Linked DNA regions of Notamacropus eugenii. The protein of the gene in region 4 purifies or fractionates together with the protein of the main gene of each other region. This does not show direct contact. Links are inferred from orthologs where the notes say so. Each region holds a gene or a part of one and is shown on either strand. Other genes may lie near its edges. The genes, in order: STX16, STX6, STX4 and NAPA.

Evidence for each region.
Region 1: the proteins of NAPA (region 4) and STX16 purify together in Homo sapiens (affinity purification with mass spectrometry; 4 studies listed by BioGRID and IntAct, with this or other methods). This does not show direct contact. The link is inferred for Notamacropus eugenii from reciprocal best matches to the Homo sapiens genes NAPA and STX16.
Region 2: the proteins of NAPA (region 4) and STX6 purify together in Homo sapiens (affinity purification with mass spectrometry; 3 studies listed by BioGRID and IntAct, counting the BioPlex papers as one, with this or other methods). This does not show direct contact. The link is inferred for Notamacropus eugenii from reciprocal best matches to the Homo sapiens genes NAPA and STX6.
Region 3: the proteins of NAPA (region 4) and STX4 purify together in Homo sapiens (affinity purification with mass spectrometry; 4 studies listed by BioGRID and IntAct, with this or other methods). This does not show direct contact. The link is inferred for Notamacropus eugenii from reciprocal best matches to the Homo sapiens genes NAPA and STX4.

The regions. Positions count from the first base shown.
Region 1 is NC_092872.1:506,554,776-506,562,439, forward strand, and holds the start of STX16 (syntaxin-16), read right to left. Parts: upstream 3,001-7,664; 5' UTR 2,868-3,000; coding exon 2,730-2,867; intron 1-2,729. UniProt on the Homo sapiens protein: SNARE involved in vesicular transport from the late endosomes to the trans-Golgi network.
Region 2 is NC_092873.1:464,543,891-464,550,962, reverse strand, and holds the start of STX6 (syntaxin-6), read right to left. Parts: upstream 3,009-7,072; 5' UTR 2,700-3,008; coding exon 2,665-2,699; intron 1-2,664. UniProt on the Homo sapiens protein: SNARE promoting movement of transport vesicles to target membranes. Targets endosomes to the trans-Golgi network, and may therefore function in retrograde trafficking.
Region 3 is NC_092874.1:377,695,294-377,703,194, forward strand, and holds the start of STX4 (syntaxin-4), read right to left. Parts: upstream 3,004-7,901; 5' UTR 2,768-3,003; intron 1-2,767. UniProt on the Homo sapiens protein: Plasma membrane t-SNARE that mediates docking of transport vesicles. Necessary for the translocation of SLC2A4 from intracellular vesicles to the plasma membrane.
Region 4 is NC_092876.1:29,450,711-29,458,411, forward strand, and holds the start of NAPA (alpha-soluble NSF attachment protein), read right to left. Parts: upstream 3,011-7,701; 5' UTR 2,790-3,010; coding exon 2,692-2,789; intron 1-2,691. Other genes in the region: uncharacterized protein, read left to right, coding at 3,265-3,999; ZNF541 (zinc finger protein 541), read right to left, coding at 6,315-6,486, 6,574-6,755, 6,975-7,115. UniProt on the Homo sapiens protein: Required for vesicular transport between the endoplasmic reticulum and the Golgi apparatus. Together with GNA12 promotes CDH5 localization to plasma membrane.

The DNA.
Region 1 (7,664 bases), on a different chromosome or scaffold from region 4:
GCTGGTCAGGAAAATTCTTCTTTCTATTTGTAACCAAACCAATAATCATAACTTCATTTTTCAATCAACACGTCTCCTTGTTCTGGAGTAGCCACTTACTGTGTTTGATCTTGAAACAAAGGAATGTAACAAACCAAGGTGCAAATCTTAACCCAGCAGATGGTAATGCTTTTTGATTATCATAAATCCTGAGTTAAAGAGATATTAGTATCAAAGAACTTTAGACTTCTAAAGGCTTTAGAGATAATTTAATCTAATCCCTTACTTCACAGACAAGGAAAGTGAAACTCAGAGAGATGATTTCCCCAGGATCACACTGTTAAATTAGTAGCAGAGGAAAGGGCTTAGGCTTCCTGACTCCTAAACAATTGTGCTCCTTCTATTCTACCATATCCTACCATGCCTCCTCTCTAGTTTGATTTCGAACTTTTGAAAAAAAATTGAGAGAAAATTGAGAATTTTGTACATACTACTATTTTCAAAGCTATTTTATTTTTCAGGGCTTTGTGCCTTGATCAGCAGTACTACTATCACATACTTTTTGAAAAGTCTGGTTTCCTGCTGGGAAATGGCTGTACTTGCAAAGTATAAACAGCCTTATTTCACTACTACTCCATTATGAAAGGCACAATAACTTTTAAACAATTTGTTCTGTAAGGTATAAACAGAAATTGGTAATTGATATATTGTTCTTCTGTTTCCTAAGTTGCACCAGTCTAACTTTCCCCATTTAGGGCTTGAATAATTCCATGTCTATATTATCAAACATCTTTAGCCTTTTTCAAGATTGTATTTTAAAAATAATTTATAAGATTTGTTTTCTGAGAACCTCTATACAGTAGTTTTATTCCCCAGCATACATAACCCATTATGTGGAAGATTCCTCCACAGAAGCAGATTGCAAATAAATTTATGATCTATTAATTCCTAAAGTTTGAAGTAATTAAAGGTTAAGTAACTTGCCTAGGGTCATAAAGCTAATAATCGCCAGAACCCAGTAGACTAATAAGCTCAACAGGATATTAAGTATAGCATGCTTCTAAGATCTGGGCTTGGAATCAGGAAGACTCATTTTCAAAAGTTCAAGTCCAGCCCCCCACACTAGCTGTGGACCTGGTCAAGTCACTTAACTGTTTGCCTCAGTTTCTTCATCTGTAAAATGAGCCAGAGAAGGGAATGGCAAACTACTCCAGAATCTTTGACAGGAAAACTTCAAACGGGGTCACTACAAGTTAGATCCAACCTAACTCAACAATACCTCTAAGGATCATAGCTTTTCAGATTCCTAACCAAGTGTGTATATGCAAATATAGCAGGTCACGCATGTTTTGGTACTTGGGCCTATTTCATCTCAAATCTAACATCTCATAAAACAAAACCATACTTTTTCAGCTCAAAAAATACAGACTATACGTATGAATCGATAAAGAAGGGACCGAGTATATCCTTAGAGAGTCACTTTGTGAATATCCCACATATGAAATAAATTTTCAGAAGAAATTGGTGGTAATCATAGCAAAATTCAAGGGGTCTCTGAAGGAGAGCAAGTTTCTAGTAAGTCTCTAAAGTGGCATTTCTAAGTCTATGGGTTTAAATGACAGTTCCTAAGTATTTGTCTCTGTAAGAGCTGAGTCATGTCTTCTAATAATATAACCACCAATACCATTTTTAATTTAATGTAATTTTAAATTTTAATTTAAACACCATTTCTACTAATAAATCTAAACTCAAGCTAGGATTCATTTTTGAAAAGTGTGGTGCCACAGGCAATTTACTGGACTGCTGGGCTAATAGGCCTAAAAAAAAAAAGTGCCAGTATTAATTTAATTCCCACACAGACACCGTGTGAAAGGCAGTCATAATGAAAGGACTCATTTCCTGAATGGAAAATGAAAACAGGGAAGTCCACCCCTTCCCAACCTTACAGTTTCACAAAACTGTCTTCTTCAGGAAATAGGGAAACAAATTATTAAAAGCATAAAGCAAGAAGAGACTCGACTGCCACACAGGAATGGAAAATCCTCACTGGATAAAATGAGGCTAAAACGACTCCATTCCACAGAGTCATTTTGAAGAGAATATCTGTTGGACAAAAAGGGGAGGCATCGGAATGAAAAGACAGGGGAGGAGGGGGTGAGGGTAAACATGAAGCCACGAAAGCCTGAGACAGCGCTTCATGAAGCATCCAACACAGGGCTTCAGAACCGAGCAGGACCCGGCGGGAGGAACTCGTCCGAGTCCGCAGCGAGGGCGGCTCTGTGAAAGTTGGAAGGGAAAGCCCAAGGAATGGGGGGACAGGGGGACAGGAGGGAGAGACGGCAGGGGGGGGAGAATTCAAAACAAAACCTAGCACTACAGTCTGATGCCTCCTAACAACCACAAGACAACGACATTTCAAGAGAGACACAGAGAGAAAGGCATTGACAGAGACGCGTAGACACACAGAAAGGCAGAGAGACAGACAGAGGGACAGAGAGACAGAGAGAGTGAGAGAGAGAGAGACAGAGAGACAGAGGGACAGAGAGAGAGAGACAGAGAGAGAGAGAGAGAGAGAGAGAGAGAGAGAGAGAGAGAGAGAGAGAGAGAGAGAGAGAGAGAGAGACAGAGACAGAGAGACAGAGAGAGAGACAGAGAGAGACAGAGAGAGAGAGACAGAGAGAGGGACGGCGCGCACGCCGGAGCGCGGGGCACCGCGAGGAGCAGGTGGAGGAGGCCGGCAGGAGACTCACCGCAGCAACGCTACGTGAATGCAGAGGGCTGGAGGTGGAGGAGGTGTAACTACTCACTTGCTCGGCTAACAGCTGCCGGTTTTGGATGGAATTGTTCCGCAACAACAAGAAAGCGTCGGTTAAACGCCGGGTGGCCATGCTTAACCCTGCACGCCTCCCCGTGGGGGACCCCCACTCAGAGCCTCGGCCTGAACCTCAGAATTCCTCGGACCCTGCGGGGGCCGCCTCCCCTCAAGCTTCCCCACTTTGCCCTCAAGGGGCAGGGGCAGAGTGGGAAGGGGGGAGTAAAGGGGGAGGTCCCCCGCCCACTCCTTCCCCAAATCCTAGCTTGGATTTCTAACGGTCTAATTCCCACCCGACCCCGGGTGTCTTGCCGAGCCCCCGCCCTTCTTGGGGTTGTCCTGGGTCCCCCTCAGGGAGCCCCGGCCGGGCCTGGCCCCTCCAGATCGTTCGGAGCCCGTCCACGGGCCTGTCAGAGCCCAGCCGGGCTCCCGGCCCCGACGTCCCGGGTCTTCGTCCTCCTCCCTCCAGGGGCTCGAGGCAGGAGAGCCTCACGCCCGGCGCCTCGTCCCCCCTCCGGCTACAGGGCCTCCCGGGGGGGAAGCAGCGCAATCCTCAGCCTCATCATTCCTGTACTCCGCCGCTGCCGCCGCCGCCGCCTCCGGCTCCATCCATCCCCGGATCTGACTACAGCAGCCCGGCCACTTCCGCGTCGGCGTTCCATCGGCTCAAGAGTCCCCCTTCCCGCTTCCGGTCCGTCCTCCTTAAGTGGCCCCTGCCGCTGCTGCCCGGGCTCCTCACGTTCCGGGCGCTCTTCCCTCAGCTCCGCCCTGCTCCCTTGGCCCGGCCCCCAGCCCGGCTTGGTAGCTGCGCTCAGAGCTTTCTCGGTGAGGCCGTATCCTCAAATGCTGCTCTAGTTCCGCTTTGTCCTACCTTTCTCTTCCTGAAAGGAGAATAGGGTTCAGAGCTGGACTCTTCCTTAGAGACCAGCCCCTTCATTTGATGAGTGAGGAAATGAAGCCCATGAACGTGAAGCGGATTTCCCAAATCTCAGAGGTTTGGGAAAGGGCAGACTGGTGACTCCATCCCAGCCCCCACGGGCCGGTGCTCTTTATTAGCCTCTCATTCTGGGGTTAACGACCACCAAAGGGGTGGGAAGATCAGGTGGGCAGATTTCTCCTTAACTCAAGGCGACTTCCCGATGTGTATGGAAGAGCCTACTAGTACAAAACTCTTCTAAGCGCTGGGGACCCAAAACGAAGCGAACACCAGTCCGTGGCCCAAAGGGTGGACTAGACACCGGACCTGTCATTTCATTGGAATGGGAAGTACACCGGTTAAGGGAAGTTCTACCGATGCAAATTAGTCCCTTCTCAACCACTTATGGTTGATCCCTGAGTGGTTAAGTGACTTTCCCAGGTCACACAGACAATGTACTTTGGAGGTGGAATTCGAACCCAGGTCTTCCCGAGCAGATCTCTTCTCCATTGCCTGGCAAGCTCACTAGGTCACAGAATAATCGAATTCTTCAGTCACAAAATACCAGAGTTGGAAAGTAGCTCGGACCCGAAGTGACTGAAGAATTCGATTATTCTGCGACCTAGTCCAACAGGACCCAAAGGGAGTCTTCACTACAGCTAAAGCTGACCCCCGTTGAAACTGGCTGCTTCTGAAAGTGGAAAGCTTCCCAGAACTGAATAGAGGTGTTCGAACAATGGTTACATGGCACTTGTCGGGAATTATCAAGAGTTTTTATTCCACGGGATTGGACTAAGGGATTTCTAAGGTTCCTAAGATTCTGTGAAACACTTGATATATGGTAGCTTAGAGAGCTGTCTTGGCTTGTGTTTTTGGTGTCGGTCCAAACACACATGGCATGGAGGGAGCCATGAGAAATGGAAATCCTGGGGGGGTCCAAGACATCATCTAGTCCTGCAGATTGGCCATTTCTGGATGTGGCCAGGGACACACACACTTCCATTTCCAAAATTCCCTATCCTCCAGGATAATAAATATAGTTCTTAGCCTTTCTGTATCATGAACCCATTTGGTTTTCTGGGGAAGCTTATGGACTCTTCAAAATAATGTTGTTAAATGCATAAATAAATACATAAACTCATAAAGGAATTCAATATATTGAAATATGGCATCTATCTATCTATGTATCTATCATCTATCTATGTATCTTTTAAATTAATGGATCCCTGATTAAAGATCTATGCCCTAGGGGAAACAAATAAGGGACAGTACCCCTGCCCTCAAGGACTTTTAGAACTGATAGAACGGATGGGAATCTTAGAGCTCACCTATTCCAACCCCCTGACTTTACAGAGAAAGAATCTTAAGTTTCATAAAGGTGAGAAAATCTGCCTACCTATAGGCATTACCTCCTGTAGAGATAACATGTTTCTACCATAGACATTATGTCTATGGTATTAGCCCAGACTAACATTGGATTCAGTATAGTTTCTTTTAGGATTGAAGTAAGGGTCATAGTACCCTAAGGTATCATGTGCTTGGAAAAGGAGGGCAGTAAGGGGTAGGAAAGAGAATTTCAATTCCGTGTGGTTACATAATGCTGCCTCTCCCCCTCTTCGCCTCCGCCTCCTTCTCCTTCTCCTTCCTCTCCTCTTCCTCTTTCTCTATTTCTTACCTTCTCTCCTTCCCTGCAAAGATGGTTCTTTGAAAGGACTGACATCAATTGAGCAGTGTGAACCAGTCCTTAAACTGGTTTCATCAAATGACTTACAGAAATTCCCCAGCCCCAAACCCAGTAAAGCACAGGCAGATTAGCATTCTCCATGTTTTCACACCTCTGCTTTCCTCCCACTTTATCTGATCCCTGACTCCCATCCGCTAAGGTGCTAGCTCAAGATTGGAATCCTCCTCCTCCTCCTCCTCCTCCTCCTCCTCCTCCTCCTCCTCCTCCTCCTCCTCCTCCTCCTCCTCCTCCTCCTCCTCCTCCTCCTTAGTCCCACCTCTCTGTGTCTCATACTATCTGTAGGTGGCACTGCAGGGTTATACAATGAGAGACTTCCCCAATACTTTTTCCTTCTTTTATCTAGAATGAAGCTCTTTTGGTCTCCACCCGATATTAGAGACTCCAGTTTTCACACACAAACTAGAAGCATAAAGCTCCTTGCCACCAACTGTGGTCTCTATTAATCTCAAATAAAGTTTCCACCTGAGGGAGTTGGATATAATAGTGACAAGCCATGGTCTGTGTACTTTTTAAATTTGGGGTTGGGAGGGCAAGGAGAAGACAAATGGACTGGTTTGTGGGAGGTTTTCCAAGAGTCCCCCTTTCTAATAGGTTAGGATAGTGCCATCAGAGAAAAACAGAATTTGGAAATCAAATCCATAGAATGAGTTAGGAAATGAAACGCACACAGATAAATTCACAGATGAATCCATCAAAAGTATTTCAGGTGATTAACTGTCCAAATGCAGACAGCTGGGCAGGAAAAATGAAAAATTAGCTGCTAACAGGTTTGTTTCTGAAGCCATACCAATGATTTTTGCCTCAGTGCCCCCAGGCATCACCAACAGAGAATAGGTATTTATTTGAAACAACCTTCAACCCCTTTCTCTCCTTTTCCTTTTCCACCCTTTTCCATAAGCCCTACTGTATACCTGAATGCTTCATGCCCAACTGGACAAGCTATTTGTAGCTAGACTGTTGGAATTCTAGCTGCTCTATGATGTTTTCTTATACTAATCAGAAAGGATATAACTTTCCCTATTTCTACCCTAAAATTAAAAACAAAAAAAATCAGAGTTCACAAGGTCCACAGAGGTGATCCTGCATAAAAGACACTTGAACTGGAAGACCTTCTGACTATTTTCATTGGCTATTCCAGAATTGGAATTCTTTACCTCCTCTTCTCTGTCTCCTGGCTTCCCTGGTTTCCTTTGAATCTCAGCTAAAGTCTCACGTTCTAGAGGAAGCTTTTCCCAATTCCTGGTAATGCTAGTGCTCTGTTGATTATAGCTAATCAGATGGCTATGGTAGCTCAAGAATTGTTTTGATTTGCATTTCCACTATTATTAGTGATTTCAAAGCATTGTTTTTATGTAGTTGATAGCTTGAGTTGCTTTTGAAAACTGCTTTATCATATCTGACCATCTAGGAAAGAATGGCTCTTGTTTTACATATATATGTATATATATATATATCTCCTGCATCTTTTCGCAAATTAACTGTTTCCCTTCTAATTCCAAATGCTTGATTTTGTTTAAGTAAAACCTTTTCTATTTTATTAATCAATATTGTCCATTTTTATCTGTTCTCTTTGTACCTTGTTTGATAAATCCCCATCATCCTATTTCTTTTATCTTTTCTTCAGATTTCTTTATGATATATTTTTATATTTACACTAACTGTTTATTGTGGTATATGCTGTGAGATGTTTGTGTAGCTGGCTTTTTCAAAGAATTTGAGAGAGAAAGAAAGGAGGAATAAGAGCAGTAGCTTTGGGGATAGCAGTCAGGGTTCAAAGGATACGTTTGTAGGCAGCGGGGAAGGAACCAGTACACTGGGGTTGGGTTTGAAGTTTGTGATGAGAGAGGGAATGATAATGGGGGCACTTTGCTGGAGATGACAGGAGGGAATGAGATCAGGGGTATTCATAGAGGGCCTTTGTGAGAAGGGCTGTCTCTTTATCAGAGACTGGCATAAAGGAGTAAATAGTAGAAGAGGATATCTAAGGAGGAGAGAGCAGGAGCCCTTATTGAACAGACTTACTTTCCTCAAAAAAATATGAGGTGAGGTTCTCACCTAAGAGGATGAGAGGAGAGGTTGTCATGTTGCCCTCACTTATTTGTTTGTTTTCTGCACGTTGCAATGTTTACATGTTCCTGATTAAGTGGATTTATGTATGATATTATCAAGTTTTAACTATATTAACCCTCGCAAAATGGGCTTGTGACTTAAAA
Region 2 (7,072 bases), on a different chromosome or scaffold from region 4:
ATGCTCATCAAAGCAATACAATAATTACAGGATTTTGTCAAGAGAGTGAGTGAAAAGGATTGTTGTTATGCCTAGCTCAGGGCACAACTTAGCTCTGAAAAACAGAGCTGTCTCCTAATATCTTGACATTATTGTGTGTGTACGTTGTACATCTGATTTCTTCAAACTGACTCAGATCCTAGACAGCAGAAAATACACTTTAGTTTCTTTTTTAATCCCACTCAAAACCCATCACATTAGCCCAATGATTAGAAGAAGGTTCATCAAACTACCATCAAATAAGCAAATGTACAAAACTAAGCAATAACAAAATCCACTCCCTTCATCTTTCCATGGCACAAAAGGTATTACTAAATGCCTTCCTACTGAACAACCTTAACATCAAAGGGGGAAATAATGAACAAAGCAACAAAAAGAACAGCTCAACATTCCATGGTTGGAATTTTAAACTTCTGTCACTGTACCTATATTGGAAGGCTAAACACAATGAAAAGATGGCACAGCACTTGGTAGCGCTTTGAAATTTCATACAATTATCACGTACTTCTCCAAGTCTATAACTGCCATTTCTACTCGACTCAAGCATCAATGAGGAGAAACAAAGGATTTAAAATAACCAATTCCTAAATACCAGAAAACTTTATTATAGCTCACACTTTCTTAACTTAGAAAACTAAATATCATATATATATATATATATATATATATATACACGTGTGTGTGTGTGTGTGTGTGTGTGTGTGTGTGTGGAGAGGGGGAGAGAGAGGGAGAGAGGGAGAGAGAGAGAGAGAGAGAGAGAGAGAGAGAGAGAGAGAGAGAGAGAGAGGAGGGGAGAGAGGGAGAGACAGAGAGAGCTTGAGAGAAAAGAGCAGTGTTTTACAACGTATAAAGCACCGTTTCTTAAACAATCCAATAGTAAATGAAGAACCGGAGAAAGCAACAGTTTAGCTCAGCAGGTTTTTCCACCTTTATGACACAAAATTAACTATAGGGAAAAGAACTTTCAAGGGCACTATTCAGAAGAAGGATGAACTTTTTACACTGTATTTTCCCCCAAGAATCACAATACAATGATTAAATGTGCTTGACACTTGAGAGTAAAAATATTAGCATTCGCAAAAAAGACAACCTCTCTGTAGGCTTTGCCCTCTATAGTAATGAAGTTCATGACAACTAAGAAAGCAAAATAGCATAAAAAGTTAGCTATGTGTTTTGCACCCTTCAATCTTTCAGATATTCTTATCCAGGCAAGAGCATCCAGATCTGCAATTAAGAGGATTCAATTCAAATCCTATCAAGACCTCGGCTAAATCATTCAATCGGACCTCTGTGCTTCACTTTCTTCAACTGTAAAATACAGGGATTTTTACTTTCAAAGCATCTTGTAATACAAAATCTACAATGCTCTTCTCACCCGAAAATAGAGATTACATGCTAGAACTGTGATTTTTTTTCCCTCCCTGACGAATAACTTTCTACCAATGCAGGTCAGCACACAGAGTGCTAAGAGGATAAGTGACTTTTCTAAGGGGTTATAGGCTATTACATGTCAGAGGTAGGGCAATCAAGTTCTTCCTGGCCTCCTCTCTATCCACTACACTAAGATGCCTCTCCAACATATACTTCCTAATTAAGCTGTTACTGAAAAATTACAATCTTATTCTCTTTCTACCATTCGTTAAAGGCTTTAGTCAACTCAAAAAATGCTTTTTTTCGCCTTCCAACAAAACAAAACAAAAAAATCCCAACAATGGATAATCAGAGAAGACGCCAACTAATGGAAAAACAAATTTGAGACACTTAAAAGATCAATCCAGGTGATGACTTAGCAGAAAAAGCATCTGAAATAGACTGGATTAACTACAGGAGTTTTTAAGACAGCTCATTTCCTTCAAGGAGCGTGGGAAAACACCCGCTGCTACTGGAAAGCCGTGCAAAGTTTGGTTTGGCTGGTTTCGCTCGGTTTTCTTTCCAACACCATTACTGAGCATGGAAGGTTGTTTCTCTTCCATAGTATTACTCAATACACTTTAAAAAATCTCCCCCAGCATTCAGTTTGCTCCGCATTCCCTCTGCCCACGGCTCCCCACCCCCCGGCTGTCTGCCCACCCTCCCCACGCCTCCCTCCCAACAGGCTTCGACACTTCTCGGCCGTCCGTGGGCTCCCCCAGACTGAAGGCTCCGTCCTGGAGACAATGGGAGTTTACTCAAGTGGAGTCCATCTGGGGGCTGGGCCGGGGACTCCACAGGTGGAGGAAATCACTCCCCCGGCGCAGGTCCGTCCATTCTCCGTGGTCAGTGGTCAGAGAGGCGGCCCCCAGCCCCGGAGCTTCAGTGAATGGCCCCGAGCCCCCCTCGCGGCCCGCGGCTGACACAGGCCTCTCCTTTGACGCATGCAATGGCTCTCACTCCGGGACGTGGGTAACCCACGCATGACCGTCCTCCCCTCTCCGAACACGCAGTGCACCCCCACCCCGTCACCGTCCGGGGCTGACAGATCGGCCAGACCCCGGTCTCAGGGGGCTCCAGGCCGCAGGGGTGCTCGACCCTGAGGAAAGGTCCCCGGGGCTGCTCCGGAACAGGCCGGCGCGCTCCGTGCGTCCGTGCCCGAGTGGGAGCGCGCGCGGCGGGGCCGGGCTTCCTTCCCCAGACCGCCTTACTCACCCTTTCACCACAAAGAAGGGGTCCTCCATGGACATGGCGTCCCGGCGGCCGCCCCGCCGCAGCCCGTCCGCACGCACCGGGCTCCTCCTCCCCGCGCTTCCGCCGCTCCCTGAGGTTCACGGGGCTTGAAAAGTCGGCGGGCCAGCGAGGGGAACGCGCGCGGTGCCGCCGGCGCGACAGTCTCGCAGGAGCGGCCTGCCGCTAGCAGCAACGCAAAGGAGGCGGCCGCAGGCTCCAGACTCGATCACCGTCCGCCTCCCCGCCCGGACCCTCCCGGGCCGGCTCCCCCCCAAGCCTCCGCCCCTAGTGGCCCCGCCCCCTCGGCCCCGACCAATCACAAGCACACTTACTGAAGCACCACTTCCGCACTCCGCTCTCACGTGACATGGCCAGGGCCCGCCCCCTCCTCCAGTAGAAGCTGTGGGTTTTCGGTCACGTGACGAGAGTTGGGGCCGCCAGGAGCCTCGGGAGTTGGAGGCGGGGCTGCTTTCCCGTGTCACGTGGCCGGGGAGGCTCATTTCTAGAGGAGGGACGGGTCTCCAATGATACTCTTTTCATACCTCCCCGGGGGGGAGGGACCTTTTTCACCCGGTTTACGAAGTGGTTTGAGTTTCCCGCTCTACGTTTTCTGTTGCTAGACCGTGCCTCCCTTCTTTTTACTTCCATCTTGACAATCGAAAGATTGTTCCTTTATTTTCGTCACATCTGACCCTTGGGGCCCCTTTGGGGTTTTCTTGGCCAAGATCCTGGAGCGGTTCGCCTTTGCCTTCTCCGGCCCGTTGGACAGACGAGGAAACTGAGGCCCACAGCGTGAAGCGAGGCGCCGGGGGTCACCAGCTGGGAAGTGCCCGGGGAGGGCCGAGCCTGTCCGGGGCTTCACCCCCCAGAGGCCTGCATGGTTCCTGTGCTCTAGTCTGGCCAAGTTTCTTTTCTTTACGGTGTTGTGCTCCTATAAGCTGGTTCTTCTAGACTCAGAAATGAAGGGGATCCACTAATCTGGATTCACTGAGGACCACGACTGCCGTAGTGCATAATGTAATGTCCACGCTTTGTTGTATTTTCGCTTATTTTGTTACGCACTTCCCAATTACACTGTAATATTATTTAGGGAGGGCTGTTGGAGACCTGTCATCCGGACAATCAACAAACAATACATTAAACCCTCATTTATAGCTTGCCTATTTCCTTTCCGGCCTCAGGAGCTGACTCCAACACATCTCTGCCCTGCCAGGCCCTCCAGGAGCTTATGTTCACATAGTAGAAGACATCGTTAGAAAGGAGGAGGAGGAAAACAGAATAAAGTATCTGTTCAGCAGCCTTGTAGAGAAAGGATAACTGGGCATCCTCTGGCCATCCAATTTACCTTCCTTTGGAGAGGAGAAGGAAGGGGAGGGGAGACAAGTACCAGAAGTTACAGCCTGGCTTGAGCATCCTCCTAAAAATGTAAGTTCTACAAATAGCTAGCAAAGCTAGTGGCCTGAGGGATAAGAAGTACTTCCGTAAAGTCCAGGGGTGAAATGAGATTTCTGAGGCATTTGCACAGAAAGCCAGGAAGAAACCAGGAGTGCAGTCATTCCCCTAGTTGATGGGCATCCCCTTAGTTAAAAAGTGGTGCTATTGATATTTCTGTATATGTGCCTGTCCTTTCTGTTTCCCTTTGAAATATTGCCCTAGTCATGGTACCACTGGATCAAAGGGTAGGTATAATCTAGTGACTTTTGGGACACAGTTCCTAACTGCTTTCCAGGACATCTGGATCAATTTCAGAATGCCACTAACTAGGGCATTAGATGCCTATCTTCCTACATTCCCTCCAATAACTGCCATTTCCCTTTTTTAAAAAAAATTTGCCACCCTTTCCAATCAAATGAATGTAAAATAGAAGTTTAGAAGGGTTTTTTAATCAGTATTTTTTATTATTAGTAATTTCAATTATTTTTTCATGTAATCAGTGATAGCTTGAAATCCTTCCTTTGAGAACTGCCCTTTGGTACCCTTTGTCCATTTATCTACTGGAGAATGAGAAATTCTGATATATTAGTTCTCTATATATCTTGGATTAGTAAATTTTTTTTCAGAAAAACTTGCTGTAAATATTTCTTCCTAGTTAACTGTTTCCCTTCTGATTTCAGCTAAATTAATTTTTGTTTACACAAAAGTTTTAAAATTTTATTTAATTGGGGGGCAGAGCCAAGATGGCAGAGTAGAAGGACAGAACTGTAAAAGCTGTCCCCCATAGCCCATAAAATACCTGTAAAAAATGACTCTAAACAAATTCAAGAGCAGCAGAAGCCACAAAATGACAGAGTGAAAGAGATTTCCAGCCCAAGACAGCCTGGAAGACAGACAGGAAAGGTCTACCACACTGGGCATGGAGCACAGCCCAGCCTCGGCCATGGAGCAGCAGGGACAGGACTAGAACAGTCTTCAGGGGGTGGAATCCCTGGCAGCAGCTGCTGTTCCCAGATTGTTCAACCCACAAACACTAAAGACAGCTTCAAAGGTCAGTGAGAAAACTCTTTCACCTGGGTGAGAGGGGAATGGGGGGGGGGTGTCTGGCCTCACTGGCAGCAGCAACTGCAGTGGCAGCAACTATTTTTGGAGCCCTTGGCCTAAAGCCCCTGGGGGAATTGAGCAGCTGATCTGGATCTCAGTCCTGAGTGGCTCTCCTGGGCTGAGGAAGAGTGCTGGCGTGGTGGAGCTGGAGGCAGTTGTGGAGAAGGAATTGTACTCCCAGATTCTGGGCAGAACAGAGTGCTTGTGGTTGCTCACAGATAAGAGCACAGGCTAGGAGAGGAGGAACTTCCACTTTGGAGGAACTGAGAACTTACAGGTCCCCAGAGTATACCCTCCTCTTGACAACAGTCTCAAAAGTCAAGTAATTGACTGGGAAAATGCCCCCCAAAATAAGACTATAGAAAGCTACTTTCTGGATGAAGAGGTATTTTCTTCCATCCTTTCAGATGAGGAAGAACAATGCATACCATCAGAGGACCTAAAAGTCAAGGTTCCTGCATTCACAACCTCCAAAATAAATATGCAGTGGTCTTAGGCCATGGAAGAACTCAAAAAGGATTTTGAAAATCAAATAAGAGAGGTGGAGGAAAAATTGGGAAGAGAAATGAGAGTGATGCAAGAAAATCATGAAAAGCGAGTCAATAGCTTGCCAAAGGAGACTCAAAAAAATGCTGAAGAAAATTACACCTATCTCAATTGGCAAAAGAGGTCCAAAAAGCCAATGAGGAGAAGAATGCTTTAATTTCATTTAATCAAAATTATCTAGTTTATCTACTGTGGTTCTCTCTATCCCTGGTTTGGTCAAGAGCTCCTTCACATCTATAATTTTGAAAGGTATCTCTAACACTGCTCCTCTAATTTGCTTATGGTGTGACTTTTTTTATTTCAACCATGTATTTATTTAGAGCTTACTAGGGTACATAGTGTAAGATAATATTCCAACAGTAATTTTAGAGACAAAGTCCACCAACTGTGGGAAACCTTTGGCCTTGAGGTCCCATGAGGTCCTCTAGGTCCTCAAGTATGACCCTTTAACTGAATCCAAGTTTCATAGACCAAATCCCCTTAATAAAAGAATTTGTTCTGTAAAACTTTGACTCAATCAAAAGGTCCTAGAGGTTATAAGGTTAAGGAACTTTGAAGATCTTCCCTGCCCTTTAATAGGTCCATATGACTGGCATTGAACTTTGACCCAGTCACAGCTTGAGTCACATGGAGTCTATGGTGGGAGGATCTTGCTTAATGGGTGGATTGGGAAAAGTCAGTGAGGTGTAGCTGAGAGAGAGGCAGTAGGCAGAGCAGAGCAGAGCAGCTAGCTTGGGTGAGAAAGGGGCATTTGTCTACAGGAGTTTGTTTGTGGGGAGGCCCAACAGAGGAAAGATTTGGTGATGGCTGTCCTTCCTCTATTGGTAAAGTGTACAAATTTCCTTGTTACTATGGTGGAAATGACATTCTGGTATCTGAACAAATATTTTGGTTTCCTCTTTGAGAAAGAGAGTTTATATTTTGTGAATTTACCCTGGAAATAAGCCTGCATATCTCTATATAGTGGTTGCTGTGGGTATGGCATTGATGATACAGAGGCCTACATAGGGCCTCGAGGTGTTCCCCACCCCTGGTCTAGACCTAATTTCTGCCAGATTGCTTTCCAGTTTTCCTGGGAGTTTTATCAAATAATGAGCCCTTGCCCTTTTATTTGTGTCTTTGGGTTTAGCAAACTGTCTTCATTTCTTTTTGTATCTTGTGTGAGATCTGATACTGCTAGGCCTCCTTCTCTCTCCCTGCCTTTTTTTCCATTATTTTCCTTGAGATTCTTGGTTCTTTGTTTATTCAGATGAAAATCATTAGTTTTCTAGTAAATATTTTGGTAGTTTGACCAATATAACACTGC
Region 3 (7,901 bases), on a different chromosome or scaffold from region 4:
AAGCAGATCTCAGAACCTGTAATAGCAAGCCCCCCATGTATGTCAAGGTGCTTTCTGCTACATCAACCCATCTCTCCAGGATCATGTCCTTATCACTGATTAGTGTGGCTCCATCAACACTGAGTAGCTGAGATGCATCAAAGATCTTTGATCCATAAATAGCCTTAAGGGCATTGTAGAAGTGCTTTAAATTGTTACTATTAAAATAAAACTGAATCACTTCTGTCTTCTCACTGATCCAAGAATCCTGCATCTCTCTAAGCTTCTTTTGCACTTTGCTCTTGATGAAATTTTAAAACTGCCTTCCTAGAACTGGGAGAACTGTCCTGTTGTTAAACATTGTGGAATTCTCATTTTTTATATAGTAGTTTCTGAATTTCCCCATGATTTTCATCAAACCAATCCTGATGTTTGCAAGTGTTTTGACCCAAAGGAGCAAATGTGATGCTGTTCACCAAAACTCTGAAAGTTGCCCACTCATTTTCTGCTCCATTGTTGCCAACCATGGATAGGGATGAAGACTAAACCCATGATTGCATTGCTGTGGGAAATTCCCTGATGAGGAAACCCCCTCTACCAATTCCAGTAGGCACCTTTAATGTAGTACAGAGTTGACTAGACTACTGGGAGATTAAGTAATTTGCCCAGAGTCATAAAACCAGTATGTGTCACAGGTAAGATTTAAACCCAAGTCCTCCTGGTTGGAAAGACCAGCTCCCTATCCACAAGACCCTGCTATCTCTCTCACACATGTGCACAGATTTAGAGCTAGAAGGAACTCAAAGATCACCTATGCTAACCTTCTTATTTTTCAGTTGAGAAAAAAAATTTTCAAATGGCTTTTTTCAAAGTCACATAGTTAGGAAGTAACTAAACCAGAATTCAAACCCATGTCTTTTGATTGCAGGTATCAACACACATACTAAAAAGAAGGTATATGTGTATTAACCAGACATATACCCATATAAATACATGTATATGTGTGTATCTTATAAATATGTGTATGTATGTATATGCCAGGCAGTGCTTAGGCCAGATGACATTTAGGAAATTGCATAGTCCTGTGAGTATATCCTAAGTGCTCACTGCTTCGAAAGATGATCTCTTTAATACCAATATTCTTGGGGTGGTGCCTTGTGTTTGTGAACCATGGAACACCACAATTTCAGAATCAATATTACAGATGACTTAAAGGGAAAAGGGAAGTGAACTGTAGTATGTTACCAAGAACAATATATGTTATAAAAGACACCAGGGGATGACAACTAAATGCACCCTATCATATCTGCCATCTGTCCCAATGTTTACTCTCATTTTCCTGTTATTAAAATGGAAGCAATAGTAGGACATACCTAGCAGTGAGTCTTCACAGAACTATTTCAAAACATCTGTTGTAATAAAGGTTGATTAGGGGAACCCACAATTATTATTATTAACAGCAACAATAATAGAGAATACTCAGTGTTAATGGAGAAAACCAAGCTGATTTAAACTACTATACATTTATATTACGTAACCTCAACTGGGCATTCACTGCTATTCAGCTTTACCTCTACTGACTCACACAATGTCAATATAAAATCATGTCTTCCCTCCAGATCTCAGTTCCGCCTTCCCCACTTAGCATATGACTGCTAAAGGAGTTGAATCATATCAGTCTTAAAATTCTTGGTATAAAGGAAACAAGAAACAAGAGGAAGTTACATCTAAATGGAAGATAAATCCCAGTACACCTTGAAGAGGCAAAGAAAGGAGTTGCTCTTATAGTATAGCCAATGGTAGCAACATTGTTATTGTTCAGTCATATCTGACTCTTTGTGACCCCACTTGGGGTTTTCTTGTAAAAGATACTGGAATGATTTGACATTTCCTTCTCCAGCTCATTCATAGATGTGGAAACTGAGGCAAATAGGATTAAGTGGCACCTAGTTAAGTATCTAAGGTTAGGTTTGAACCCAGGAAGATGATTATTTCTTCTTTCTAACTTCAGGCTCAACCATCCAGCTGCACCCCCATCCCATCTAAGAAATGCTGTTTCATGGGATATTTGGTCATCTGGTATTACAGTACTGATAAGTGTTTGTAAAAAGACCACCATGAAAATAATTGTAGCTTTTGGACCAATATTGATTGTTGAGGATGAAGAGGTAGGTAGAGAAATTCTATAAAAACATTGATAAGGTCCTCCAAAGTAAAGCAGCATATATTTTGATGCTTAATAACTTCAATAAAAGTGAAAAAAGTGAAGATAAAATGTAAATGAGAAAGCAGATTTTAAGAAAAAGGGATGAGAGAAGTCAAAGACTTGTAAATTTCACAGAACCCTCATGCCTTTATCTCACAAACATTTTCTTCAAGAAAAGACATAGTAAGGTTCTACACATGGTGAGCAACAAATAACATTGCAAAAAATGAAATAGATTTTATGCTAATGGACAGAAAAATGCATTAGTGGTGTAAAATTATCTTGGATCAGTTATTTGTGTACAATCAGATATGTTAAGCAAAGGTCAAAATTATTAAAAAGTAAAGAGAACAATAATGAAAAAGTATGAGTTCCTATTTAAACAACTCAATCCTAGATTATTTAAACAAATAATCAGCAATGAAAATTGGGAAATGGGGATCCAAAATGACATTGATACCAATGAAAATTTCTTTTATACAGAAGACTAATGACTGTGGCTATTTTCACAATAAAAAGACCCAAAGGAGCTTAATTTAGTAAACAATGTTTAATGCTTCATTTAGTAAACATTTTACTTACTTGCCAAGTTGAGAGAGATGGGGGCCAAAGGCAACTTCTTCATTTGCCAAAGGCAAATTAGACTACAAATTTTTTCAAAAGGGGGCAGATCCAAGATGACAGAGTAGAAGGACAGACCTGTAGAAGCTCTCCCCGCATAGCCCATAAAATACCTGTAAAAAATGACCCTAAGCAAATTCTAGAGAAGCAGAAACCACAAAACAACAGAGTGAAAGAGATTTCCAGCCCAAGACAGCCTGGAATGCTAACAGGAAAGATCTATTGCACCAGCTCGGAGTAGAGCACAGCCCAGTCTGGGTCACAAGGCAAGGACAAAACTAGAGCAGGCTCCAGGGTGCAGAATCATGTGTAGCAGCTGCAGTTCCCAGATTTCTCAACTCACAAACGTCAAAGATAGCTTCAAAAGTCAATGAGAAAGCTCTTTCCCCTGTGTGAGAGGGGAGCATGGTCTGGCCCCAGCACTAGCCCCTAGATGGCAGCAGCCACTGTGCAGCAGTGTCCACTTTTGGAGCCCTCAGCCTAAAGACCCTGGGGACACTGAGCTGCTGATCTGAGTCTCAGTTCTGAGTGGCAGTCCTGGGGTGAGGAGGAGCACTGACATGGTGGAGCTGGTGGAGGCTCTGGAGAGGGAATCCTACTCACAGATCCTGGGCAGAAAAGAGTGCTTGTAGTTGCTCACAGACCAGAGAACAGGTTAGGAGAGGAGTAAACTCCTCTTCCTTGATTGTACCATCTTGGAGGCCCTGAGAACTTACAGGTCCCTAGAGTATAACCTCCATTTGACAAAGGACTCAAAAGTCAAGTAACTGGCTGGGAAAATGCCCCAAAGGGAAAAATAATACTATAGAAGGTTACTTTCTTGCTGTAAAGGTATTTTCTTCCTTCCTTTCAGATGAGGAAGAACAAAGCATACCATCCGAGGAAGACCTAAAAGTCAAGGCTTCCAAAACCTCCAAAAAAATATGCAGTGGTCTCAGGCCGTGGAAGAACTAAAAAAGGATTTTGAAAATCAAGTAAGAGAGGTGGAGGAAAAATTGGGAAGAGAAATGAGAGCGATGCAAAAAAGTCATGAAAAGCAAGTCAACAGCTTGCTAAAGGCAACCCAAAAAATGCTGAAGAAATTAACACCTTTAAAAATAGACTAACCCAAATGGCAAAAGAGACCCAAAAAGCCAATGAGGAGAAGAATTGCAGAACTGATTTATTAATTAAATTAATAAAATAATAAATAAAAAATAATAAAAAAATAAATTAAATTAATTAAAAAGCAGAATTGATCAAATGGAAAAGAATGTCCAAATGATTACTGAAGAAAATAATTCCTTCAAAATTAGAATGGAGCAAATGGAAGCTAATGACTTTATGAGAAATCAAGAAATTATAAAACAAAAATAAAAGAATGAAAAAATAGAAGACAATCTGAAATATCTCATTGGAAAAACAATTGACCTGGAAAACAGATCCAGGAGAGATAATTTTAAAATTATTGATTTACCTGAAAACCATGATCAAAAAAAGAGCCTACACATCATCTTTCAAGAAATTACCAAGGAAAACTGTCCTGATATTCTAGAACCACAGGGTGAAATAGAAATGGAAAGAATCCACAGATAACCTCCTGAAAGAGACCTGAAAAGGAAAATTCTTAGGAATATTGTAGCCAAATCCAGAGTTCCCAGGTCAAGGAGAAAATATTACAAGCAGCCAGAAAGAAACAATTCAAGTAATGTGGAAATACAATCAGGATAACACAGGATTTAGCAGCTTCTACACTAAGGATCAAAGGACTTGGGATATGATATTCCAGAGGTCAAAGGAGATAGGATTAAAACCAAGAATCACCTACCCAGCAAAATGGAGTATAATAAATACTTCAGGGGGAAAAATGGAAATTCAATGAAATAGAGGACTTCCAAGCATTCCTGTTAAAAAGACCAGAGCTGAATAAAAAATTTGACTTTCAAATACAAGAATCAAGAGAAGCATGAAAAGTTAAACAGGAAAGAAAAGCCATAAGGAACTCATTAAAGTGGAACTGTTTACATTCCTACATGGAAAGATATTATTTGTAAATCATGAGACCTTTTTAAGTATTAGGGTAGTTAGAGGGAATATACATACATACATACATATATATATATATATATATATATATATATATATATATATATATATATATATATATATATATATATATGTAAGTGGGTATGGGTATGTATGTGTATATTATATATGTGTAGGTATGTATATGTATATGGGTATATGTGTGTATGTGTGTGTATATATACACACACACACACAGAGGGCATAGGGTGAGTTGAATATGAAGGGAGAATACCTAAAAAAATAAAATTTACTGTTGAATAGAATGTACTAGGAGTAAGACAAAGGGAGAGGTAGAATGTAGCAAATCATCTCACATAAAAGGGGGAAGAAAGAGCTTTTACAATGGAAGGGAAGAGGGGGACGATGAAAGGAAATAATTGAGCCTTACTCTCTTGGGATTTGGCTTAAGGAGGGAATAACACACTCAATTGGATATGCAAATCGATTTTACCCTGCAGGAAGGCAAGGAGGAAGGGGATAGGAGAGGGAATATAATAGAAGGGACAGCAAATTGGGGAAAGGGATAATCAAAAGCAAATACTGTTGTGGGAGGACAGGTCAAGGGAGAGAATGGAATAAATGTAGGGCAGGATAGGACAGAGGGAAATGTCTTTTACAACATAACTATTATGAAAGTGCTTTGCATTGTTACACATGTATGACCTATATTGAATTGCTTGTTTTCTCAATGATGGTGGGTAGGTGGGGAGGGAGAGAATATAGCACTCAAAGCTTTAAGAATGAAGGTTAAAAATTGTTTTAGCATGCAACTGGAAATTAAGCTATACAGGCAATGGAGTATAGAAATCTATTTTGCCCTACAGGAAAATAGAGGGGAAGAGGGATGGAAGAAGGGTGGGTAGTAGAAGGGAGGACAGACTGGAGGAAGGGGTGAATGGGGTTCATGCTGTCCTGGGGTAGGGGATGGGGAGAGATGGGGAGAAAATTTTGAACTCAAATTCTTGTGGAAGTGAATGTTAAGAACTGAAAAATAAATAAATTATATAAGGAAAAAAAAAACCTTGGGTGGGAGCTGAAATATGAGCTGAACTTTGAGGGAAGGTGGGGATTCTAAGAGGTAAATAAGGTAAGGAAAGGGTCAATTCCAGACCAGGGAACAGATAGTTTGTACAAAGACTGAAGATATAAGTTTTATATATGAGGAAAAGAAAATGGGACACATTGACTGGATGGTAGAATGTGTGAATGGGAGTACTATTTGCTTGGAAAGTTATGTCAGATCAAGTTTGTGAAGGATTTTCAATGCCAATAAATGGAGGTTGGATTTGGTGGTCCATAGTCTTCTTAAATTTCTGAATCTAGTGTCCTTTCTAGGTTTAGAGGCAGTTTATGTGTCTTTTTTTTCTGGTGTTAGTCAGTCAGCAGGCATTTATTGGGTGCTTAATATTTGCTAGACATTGTTAAGAGCTGGAGATACATGGAAAGCAGAAGAAAAAACACACAACATGGTCTCTATCTTTAAGAAGGCCGCATTTTACTGGGGGGAGAAAACATGTAAATAGTTATGTACATAACAGATTTTTACATTGTAGATGGGAGGTAATCTTGAAATGAAAGGCACTGGCAGTAAGTCAATAAACATGTATTAAGCACCTAAAAAAAGAATTTTTTTCAAAAATTTTACAAAGGATGGTGGACAATTATTAGCAATCTAGCCTTAAAGCAGGGAGAAGTAGTAGAAGGTACAGCTAGTTTAATGAAACTTTTGCAAGAAATCCAGCTCCACAAGGTCATCCAAAAGGTATTTGGAGACTAAAATGAAAGGACAACAAATAGAAGAAAAATACAAATAATCTTTAAAGAATACTATGGCAAACTTTTCACCAGTAAGGGAACCTTAATAGTCCACACTTGGACCCTAACATATTCCAGGATACGCTCATAGGGGAGTTAGACATGCCATTAATAAATACAAAGATAGGAAAAGCAACCTGAGTGGATGGAGTAAGTATATGCAGAGGAGATTTATGCTAAAGAACATGCAGTTGTGGGAGAGCTAGAGTCAATGTGTAAGGTTCTGAGTCAGGAGAACATACCAAAGACATGTTTAAAAGAATCAAATAAGAGGACATCAACAGCTATCTATCTATCTATCTATCTATCTATCTATCTATCTATCTATCTATCTATCTATCTATCTATCTGTCTGTCTTTCTATCTATCTATCTACCTACTTTTCTACCTATACATAATCTTTATTCAATTCACATATATAGAATTCAAGAGAATCCTCAATTTTGTGGGGAACAAGCAGAGTTTCAGAAGTGATATTTCAAAAAGAACATCGTTCCAAAATTGTTTGAAAAATATAAAGAATAGAAGATCTTACTATGTTCTTTGTTGATTATTCAAAGTATTTGAATCAATGGGGCAAAATGCCACCTTAAAGGCTCTTTTCTGATGAGATGCCTCTCTATCTACATTAAATCACTGAAGATTTCTGATAAGATGTAAAAGTAGAAATCATAATCATCATAAAACAGGAAAGACTCTCTTCCCCTTATATATTTGTCACTGTACCGGTGCAGAAAATAAATGGGGATTCTCTGTGGATGGTGAGGTCCTATAGATATTGTTGCTTGGGGATGACATTGTATTGTCATCCTCATAAATAAATGGTGCACTGAAAAGACTGTTGGAAAAGATTTGTAACTGTTCAAAGAGTTTGGCCTGACCATCCAAAAAGACCATTATGAATGTCTCTCAGATTATGACATATGTTTACATGGAAAGTCTATAGAGCTTCTCTATTAGTCTATATAACTGGTATAAACAATATAAATGGATAACAAATTGAAGTAGGAGTTGAACAGAACAGGGAGAATGGGATGAATTGTTTTCAGAAAATTATGGAACTCCTTGAATGATCCCAAGTTTTCTATGGACATAAAGGACTATCTTTTAAATGCCAACTTTCTACTGGTGTTCCTGTATGACAAGATATGAAATAGAACAGTCTCTGAAGAATTGAAATAGATTTGCAAGTTAATCTAACAAACATTTAAAA
Region 4 (7,701 bases):
CTCAATCTAGAGAAAACAGCCTCCATAACTAGAAATGTTCCAAAGGGCTGCCTCAAAAAAGCAGGACTTTCCATTATGTGATGACTCCATGTGGGGGATGCTGTGGAAGGGATTCCTTTTCAAGATGTTCCCTTCCCAAATCAGACTCTTGAGCCACACAGATTAGAAAGAGCTCTGAACGATGCTCTGCTTCTTGGCTCCTTGACCTAACATCCAATGTGCCCACAAGCCAGCCCTGCACCTAGGCTAGTCTCATTCTTACTTCTGTTCACCCCTTTTCTGACCATTTGCAGGGCCTTATCCCTCTCTGCCCAAGCAACACCCACCTACAAACTTCTGAGGCTCAAGCCAAGCTTCCATTTCTCTAGGATGCTCCTTCTAACCATCACAATCATCCCAAAATGGAATGGGATGCCTTGTAAATCAACATTCAGCTTGCTTCTCTCGATTCTTCCAGTGCTGAGTCACAAAATCACAACTTGCAGCTAGAATAGTTAGCTTATGGGTCATCTAGTCCAAAACCATGGCCAAGTGCAGGCCAAGTTTCTGAGAGAGGTTCTAGAATCCAGGCCACTTGTTAGATTTCACAGTACATTGCCCCTCATATGGGCAGTATTGTCTATGATCTGAAATCCTCATGATCAGCTGGTGTCTCCCTCCCCCCAGTACAGGCTGGCACAAGCAGGGCTGACCACAGGACTGGTATTCAGGCAGGACCTATCAAACTGAGACCTCAAATCACATTTCAGGCTACAAGGCCTCAACACTCCAAGCAAAAGGTAAACGAAATCCTCCAAGGAACTGTCTCACCGTGACCCTCCCCTTAAGTTAAACTTTAACTTTTTCTCTTGGGAATAAGTGGGAAAACAAATCCCTGTCCAATGCAGGGAGTTGGGAATTCCAGACACGTAACTGTCAACACTCACTTCCCCACTCCCCAGCTTCTCTCCACTTCCAGTTCTCGGCTCTCACTGTTTCCCATGTCCAAGTATCTGAATATTCTCCTCCCCACTTTTTCTTCCAGATCTAGTGCCCCCATTCCAGGGTCTTCCAATACTGCAGGCCTTCTTAATACAGCTTTCTATACTTTCTAGCCCCTCTTCCTCAGTTTTTCTTCCAAGTCTTTTTTCTTTGTGCCCGCCAGCAAGCTGTTCCCCAAGGCCACATGTGGCCTTCTCGGTCCTTGGGTATGGCTTTTTGACCTTCTCCAAGTTTTACAGAACAAATCCTTTTAATAAGGGGATTTATTCTATAAAGTTTGGATTGAGCCAAGGGGCTGCACTTGAGGACTCGGAGGTCACATGTGGCCTCGAGGCCACAGTTCTCCATCCCTGCTTTAGACCATATTCCTTACCTCTTTCAAATCAAGGCAACCAAAGTTTATTATGAACAATTGTTCTGGAAGTTCCCTGAACTACAAAGATTAAAAGCGACACATTTCTTGCTTTCAAGGAATTCACGAGGGAGAAAAGAGAAGTGGAAAGAAATTAAAGGCACAAACAATCAAGTTATTTCCCTTCTCAATTCTCCATGCCCACCACACACACCCTCCCCCTCTCTCCCTACTCTCCATCCCTCCACTTCCTTAGTTTTTAGTTGCCTGGTACCCCAATATCCCCTCCTCACATTCTTCAGTCCTACGTTCCCCTCCTTAAACTCTCCAAGGCATCAAATATTTACTGCCCGCAGGATCCTCTCATTTTACAGGTGAGGAAACTGAGGCCCACAGAAGTCACAGGGCCTGCCTACAGTCACACAGCTAGTAAATGGGAGAGCCTGGATGGGAACAGAGACCATCAGGCTCCAAACCCTTTCCCCCCCAGCAGCAGCTGTCTGGCTTCATCCCCGGGGCTGACCCTTTTCCACTAGCCAAAGACTCCCTTCCCCGGGGCCCTCATCACCCTCCCAGGGCCCCTCCTCACACACCCCACTCCCAGTCCCAGGCCGGGTCCCCTCATTCCCCGCCCCCCAGTCCCAGGCCGGGTCCCCTCATTCCCCAACCCCCCCAGTCTCAGGCCGGGTCCCCTCATTCCCCAACCCCCCAAGTCCCAGGCCGGGTCCCCTCATTCCCCAACCCCCCCAGTCCCAGGCCGGGTCCCCTCATTCCCCAACCCCCCCAGTCTCAGGCCGGGTCCCCTCATTCCCCGCCCCCCAGTCCCAGGCCGGGTCCCCTCATTCCCCAACCCCCCCAGTCTCAGGCCGGGTCCCCTCATTCCCCAACCCCCCAAGTCCCAGGCCGGGTCCCCTCATTCCCCAACCCCCCCAGTCCCAGGCCGGGTCCCCTCATTCCCCAACCCCCCCAGTCTCAGGCCGGGTCCCCTCATTCCCCGCCCCCCAGTCCCAGGCCGGGTCCCCTCATTCCCCAACCCCCCCAGTCCCAGGCCGGGTCCCCTCATTCCCCGCCCCCCAGTCCCAGGCCGGGTCCCCTCATTCCCCGCCCCCCAGTCCCAGGCCGGGTCCCCTCATTCCCCGCCCCCCAGTCCCAGGCCGGGTCCCCTCATTCCCCAACCCCCCCAGTCCCAGGCCGGGTCCCCTCATTCCCCAACCCCCCCAGTCTCAGGCCGGGTCCCCTCATTCCCCGCCCCCCAGTCCCAGGCCGGGTCCCCTCATTCCCCAACCCCCCCAGTCCCAGGCCGGGTCCCCTCATTCCCCGCCCCCTCCCTGGCCCGCCCCCCGGCCGGCCGCTCTCACCCGAAGAGGCCGGAGAAGAAGGACTGCGAGTTCTTGACCTTGCGCTCGGCCTCGGCCAGCAGAGCCAGCGCCTCTGCCTCCTTGCCGGAGTTGTCCATGGCGGGGAAGCGGCCGGAGTCTCGGGGGGCACAGGGGCAGGGCAGAGCCGGGAAACCACAACAGAGGAGGGCTAAGACGACCGACGACGACGGAGGACGGCGGCAGACGCGAGGCACGTGATCCGCATTGGCCAATCACCGACCCCTCGAGCCGGTGGGCCCCGCCCCAACGCACACCCCCTTTCTCCACCTCCAGCCTCGTAGAGCCGCGTGACTCCTGTGCGCCAATCCCTGCCCGCCGTCCTCTCGCCAGACCTGCCTCCCGTCGGTCTTGCAGCACGTGACTCAAGATACCTAGCATCAGGTGACAACTTCCTAACTTTCACCCCTCCCATCCCGATGCCTCGCCTCCCGCCCGCCCCCCTTGCCCCGGATGTTGTGGTTACCCGAAGAAAAGGGGTAGGAAGGATTTTCCACCCATTGCGCGTGCGCTAGGGGAGGGTAAGCGTGCGTCTTTGATAGGCGCTGTCATGGCATGTCGAGGTGGGCCGAGGAAACAATGAAATGCGCCTGCGCGGCCGCTGGAACACCACGCAAAGGCGCATGCTCAGGCTGCTGGGCCTGTTTACTGGGTCTTCTCCCTCTGTTGACCAAACCAGGGAATGAAGGTGAAAGACCCAGGTCCCAGGGGGCCACAGGGCGCATGCGGAGAGCCGAGCAGCTGCTTTCTGAGTGCGCCGTCGCCAAGGGCAGAAAGCGACTGCGGAGGACTGGCCCCACGTGGCCCTCTCTGCGCTGGCCGGAGTGTCCCAGGGCACGAAGGCGGGGCTCTCCGGCCGAGCTCCCCACTCCGCTCCGGCGTCACCAGGAAGAAGGGGAGCCCGGCCCCCTCCCGGCCCGCCCCAGGCACGGGGCTCCTGCCCTCCTGGGAACCTGGGCTCCGGAGACGGACCGAGGGACTGCTCCCTCACGTGACGGATCAGGAGACAGAAAGAGCCAGCGACCGCCTCCTCCCGCCTCGGCCCAGGCTGACCTCCTCCTCCGACACTGCCCGGCGCCTCCAGGGAGGCTCTGTGCCCACTGCCTGTCCCAGGCGTCCTCTGCTCAGCGGCTGCCCCGGGCTGCTGAAGGGAGGTGGAGGAAATCCCGCAGCTCCTCTGACGCGAGCTGGGCCCTCGGTGGGTGCTGCCGGCCCGCCCCCCCTCCATCCCTGATGTCTCGGCCCGCCCCAAGCTCGAGAGCCTTACCTCCTCCTCTCCGGGAAGGCTGAAGCTACGGTGAGTTCCCTCTTCCTCACCGGCATCACGCAGGTCCTCCTGCCCCCTCCTCCATCACTGCCCTCCCCACGAGGCTGATCCCATTTCATCCCTTCCTCTCTAGGGGATGATTCCCTGCGCCCACAAACATGCCATCCTGGGGCCCCACTTTGTCCTCTTAGAGCCCGACAGCGCGGCCTCAGACTTGATCATGCCAACACCGCGCTGTCCAAGTTACTGATGATCTCCGATCCAGTGGCCTTTCCTCAGTCCTCATTCTCCTTGACCTCTGCAGCCCTTGGCCCTGCAGAGCACTCTCCTCCTGTCCCTCCCTTTCTTGATCCCTCTTTCTCCTTTGCTGGATCCTCCTTCACATCGTGCCCTCTGACCCCCGCGTTCCTGCCTGGGCTGTCTTCCCTTCTCCCCTTGTGCTACTTCACCTGGTGACCTCATTCCCTCCCATGGATTTAATTACCATCTCTATACTGATAACTTGGGGGGGCACAATGGCTAGAGCACCGCAATCGCAATCGGGAGGACCTGAGTTCATTCAAATCTGGCCTCAGATACTTTCTAGCTGTGTGACCCTGGGCAAGTGACTTGACCCTGTTTATCTGTGGCCATGGGAAAGGAAATAGCAAACTACTCTGGTATCTCTGCCAAGGGTTCAACAAAGAGTTGGACACAATGGACAGCAGCGTTGATAACTCTCAAGTCTCCTGTTCCTGCCCCAGCCTCTCTTGATCTCCAGGCGCCTTTCAGACAGCTCAAACTGGATGTCCAGTAGACTCATACCAGACGTGTCTCAAAGTAAAATCACAAACTTCACCTCCAGTGCTGGCAAGCCCCTCACCCCCAGTCCCTCAGGTTCACACAGCCCAGGACCCATCCTGTACTCATTAGCTCTCCCCTCCCCCCCATTCCGAGCTGTCATATACCCCCTTCTCTCTTCCAGCACTGCCCCTAGCCTGGTACAGGCTCCAGTCACCCCACACCTGGACTACCACAACAGCTGCCTGGGTGGAGGTCCATCCAGGTCTGATCACACCCCACCTCCCCCCAATAAACTCCAGTGGCAAATAGAAAATGCTGCCTGGCCCCCTCCTACCTCCCCACCCTTCTCATGCCACACATCCCATCCAGTGAGCTGTCCCACAAAACCCCCCCATCTCCTGGCACTGAGCACTCTGGTCACTCCCAGGGCCTGGAACACCTTCCCTGCCACCTTTATGGGAAGGCTTCACCAACCTCTCTTCATACTAGTGCCTTCGGTTAATTATTTTCTGTTCTGCAGGAAACATTCATTCCTGTATCTAGCTTGCTTTGGATACATTTGCTTATCTCCCCTATTATACTGTGAGCTCCTTGAAGGCAGGGACTGTTTTTGCCTCTTTTTGTGTGCTAGATGCTTGGCATGCAGTACCTGACACGTAGTAGGTACTTAATAAATGTTCCCAGATTGATTGATGAACCGATCCCTGGTGCCTGTTCTTTGTCCCCTCCTCTTTTGCTTGGTGATTCCCCAGTTGATATCCCACCCACCCCACAATGATCTCCTTTACTTATGGGGGTAAATGTCTTAGTCCTGTTCCTTCTTAAGGCCAGGGGCTATTTCCAGTTCTATTTCCCAGAGGTATCTCCAATGCGCTACATACAGTAGGTGTTTTATAACTGCTCAACTGAACAGGATGAAAAATGGCAGGCCAGAAGACCTCTGATGCATTAAGAAGTCCCAGCAGCACACCAAGAGCCATTCAAAAACCCAATTTAATAAGCTATACAGTAGGCACGTACAAAAAAACCAAACAATGCACAAGTCACCACAGGACCTTGGACTCAACGCAGAAGGATCCTCCTTGCGTGAGGGAGGCCCTGACATGTCATCGCTATGAAGGTATTTTCCCACTGATTCTCTGAAATCGTGGCCTTTTCCAACAAAAATAACAAACCCCAAAACTTAGGCAAAGATTTAAGAGCTACTCGGATCCAACTTTTTGTCTTTTTTCTCTCCCCCAGAGAGATATGATTGGAAAAAGGGGAGAGGTCACCCAACTGAATGGTATAGGGCCTGGACATCCACACCACACAGCCTTAACAATCATGCAATGACTGTTTCCTGCCCCGTTCCTAATTATGACCCAACATAGGATGTGGCTGCCCCATCAGACACCCGAGCTATTTAACGGGACCCCAAAGAGAAATTGTGGTCACATTGGGGCATGCTCCCCATTGGGCCAAGCTCCCAGCAGCTCCTCCAGGCCTGGTCACCGGCTCTTTCCAAGTCGGAGGCCCCGGCCAGGTAGGCCCCCCCAGGATCCTGGCCTTCCCATTACCACCGGAGGGGGCCCCCCTCCGCCCCAGCTTCCTCCTCATCTTCCTCATCTCGTGGCTCGCTCCTAAAGGGCTTCACGGGCCATTTCATTCTGACCAGAGGCTCCACGTGCTCCTGCAGGCGATGGCGCTTCATGTGGGCATTTCGACTCTTAATCTTATCAAACACCCTGAAGAGAGAGTGGTGAGAATGGCATGTCCAAGGGCCTCAGAGGACCAAGTGATGCTGAGCAAGCAGGGCTCTGGAGGGCAAATACCTCTCACATTCTCGGCACGGAAACACGCCCTGGCTCTCAGCACTCCCAGGCGGCTCAGGTGTCCTCTTAGGGCCAGCGGTTGGGCTGGAGGAGACACTGGCCTCTCTCTTGTAACTCTTAGCTTTGATCTTCAGCTCTGGGTTTGGCCGGTGACTGAGCCGGTCTCGAGGGCTGCAGGTCACCTGAGGAGAGGAGATGCTTAGGATCCCACCACTCTGGGGAGTTCAGACGCCAGAGACACAAGACCCCTACCAGAGGAAGTCCTAATGACTGAGGGTTGCAAGAGTGAGGAAAAGTCAGGACGTGGTTTCCTATATGGGCCCTTCCCTTCAGGACCCCCACCCAGAGATAGAGGGGACCCTGGGAACCCCAACCCCTCAGGTTTCCCAGCATCTTTCTACCTTTTCCTCTGTCCTTTCTACCTCATCCTGCTCTCTCTTGACCCTCTTTTCTAGCCCTGGGGCTCGGCCGCAGTCAAACTTGATCATTTTTTTCCAGATATAATAATATTCAACACACTGGGCCACATTCTTTGTCTGAATCTAGTAAAAGAAAATGGAAACGGGTCACAGAACATGCTCACATGGCCTCATGACAGCCTTGACTTTGCCAACCAAACTCTAGACTCCTGCCCTACTAAGCTGCAAATCCACCCGCTTTTCCATGGCCTGAGAGAAAGAACACTGGATTTGCAGCCACAAGCTTTACTGTCGAGTCTGTCTGACTCTCCATGACCCCTGGCAGAGATACCGTTTTCTTATCCAGCTCATTTTACAGATGAAGAAACTGAGGCAAAGAGGGTGAAGTGCTTCGCTCAGGATCACACAGCTGGTGTCTAAGGCCTGATCTGAACTGATTCTAGGTTCAGTGCTCTGTGCACCATGGCTCCTCTAGTGGCCCTGCAGCCCAAAGACTGGGGTTCAAATCCTAGCTCTGAGCCTTCCTCCTGGGGCAACATTGAGTGAGTCACGTGACTGCTGAGCACTTCTGAGAGGTGTTTGGCATTTCTGGGCTCCTCTTACTCCCAGGAAATGATTTCCTATTTATCATAAACAGAGCTTGCTTGTTCTCTTCCACTAGCAGACTGTGAGCCCCTCAGGGACTGTCTTCTGCCCCTTTTTGTGTGCC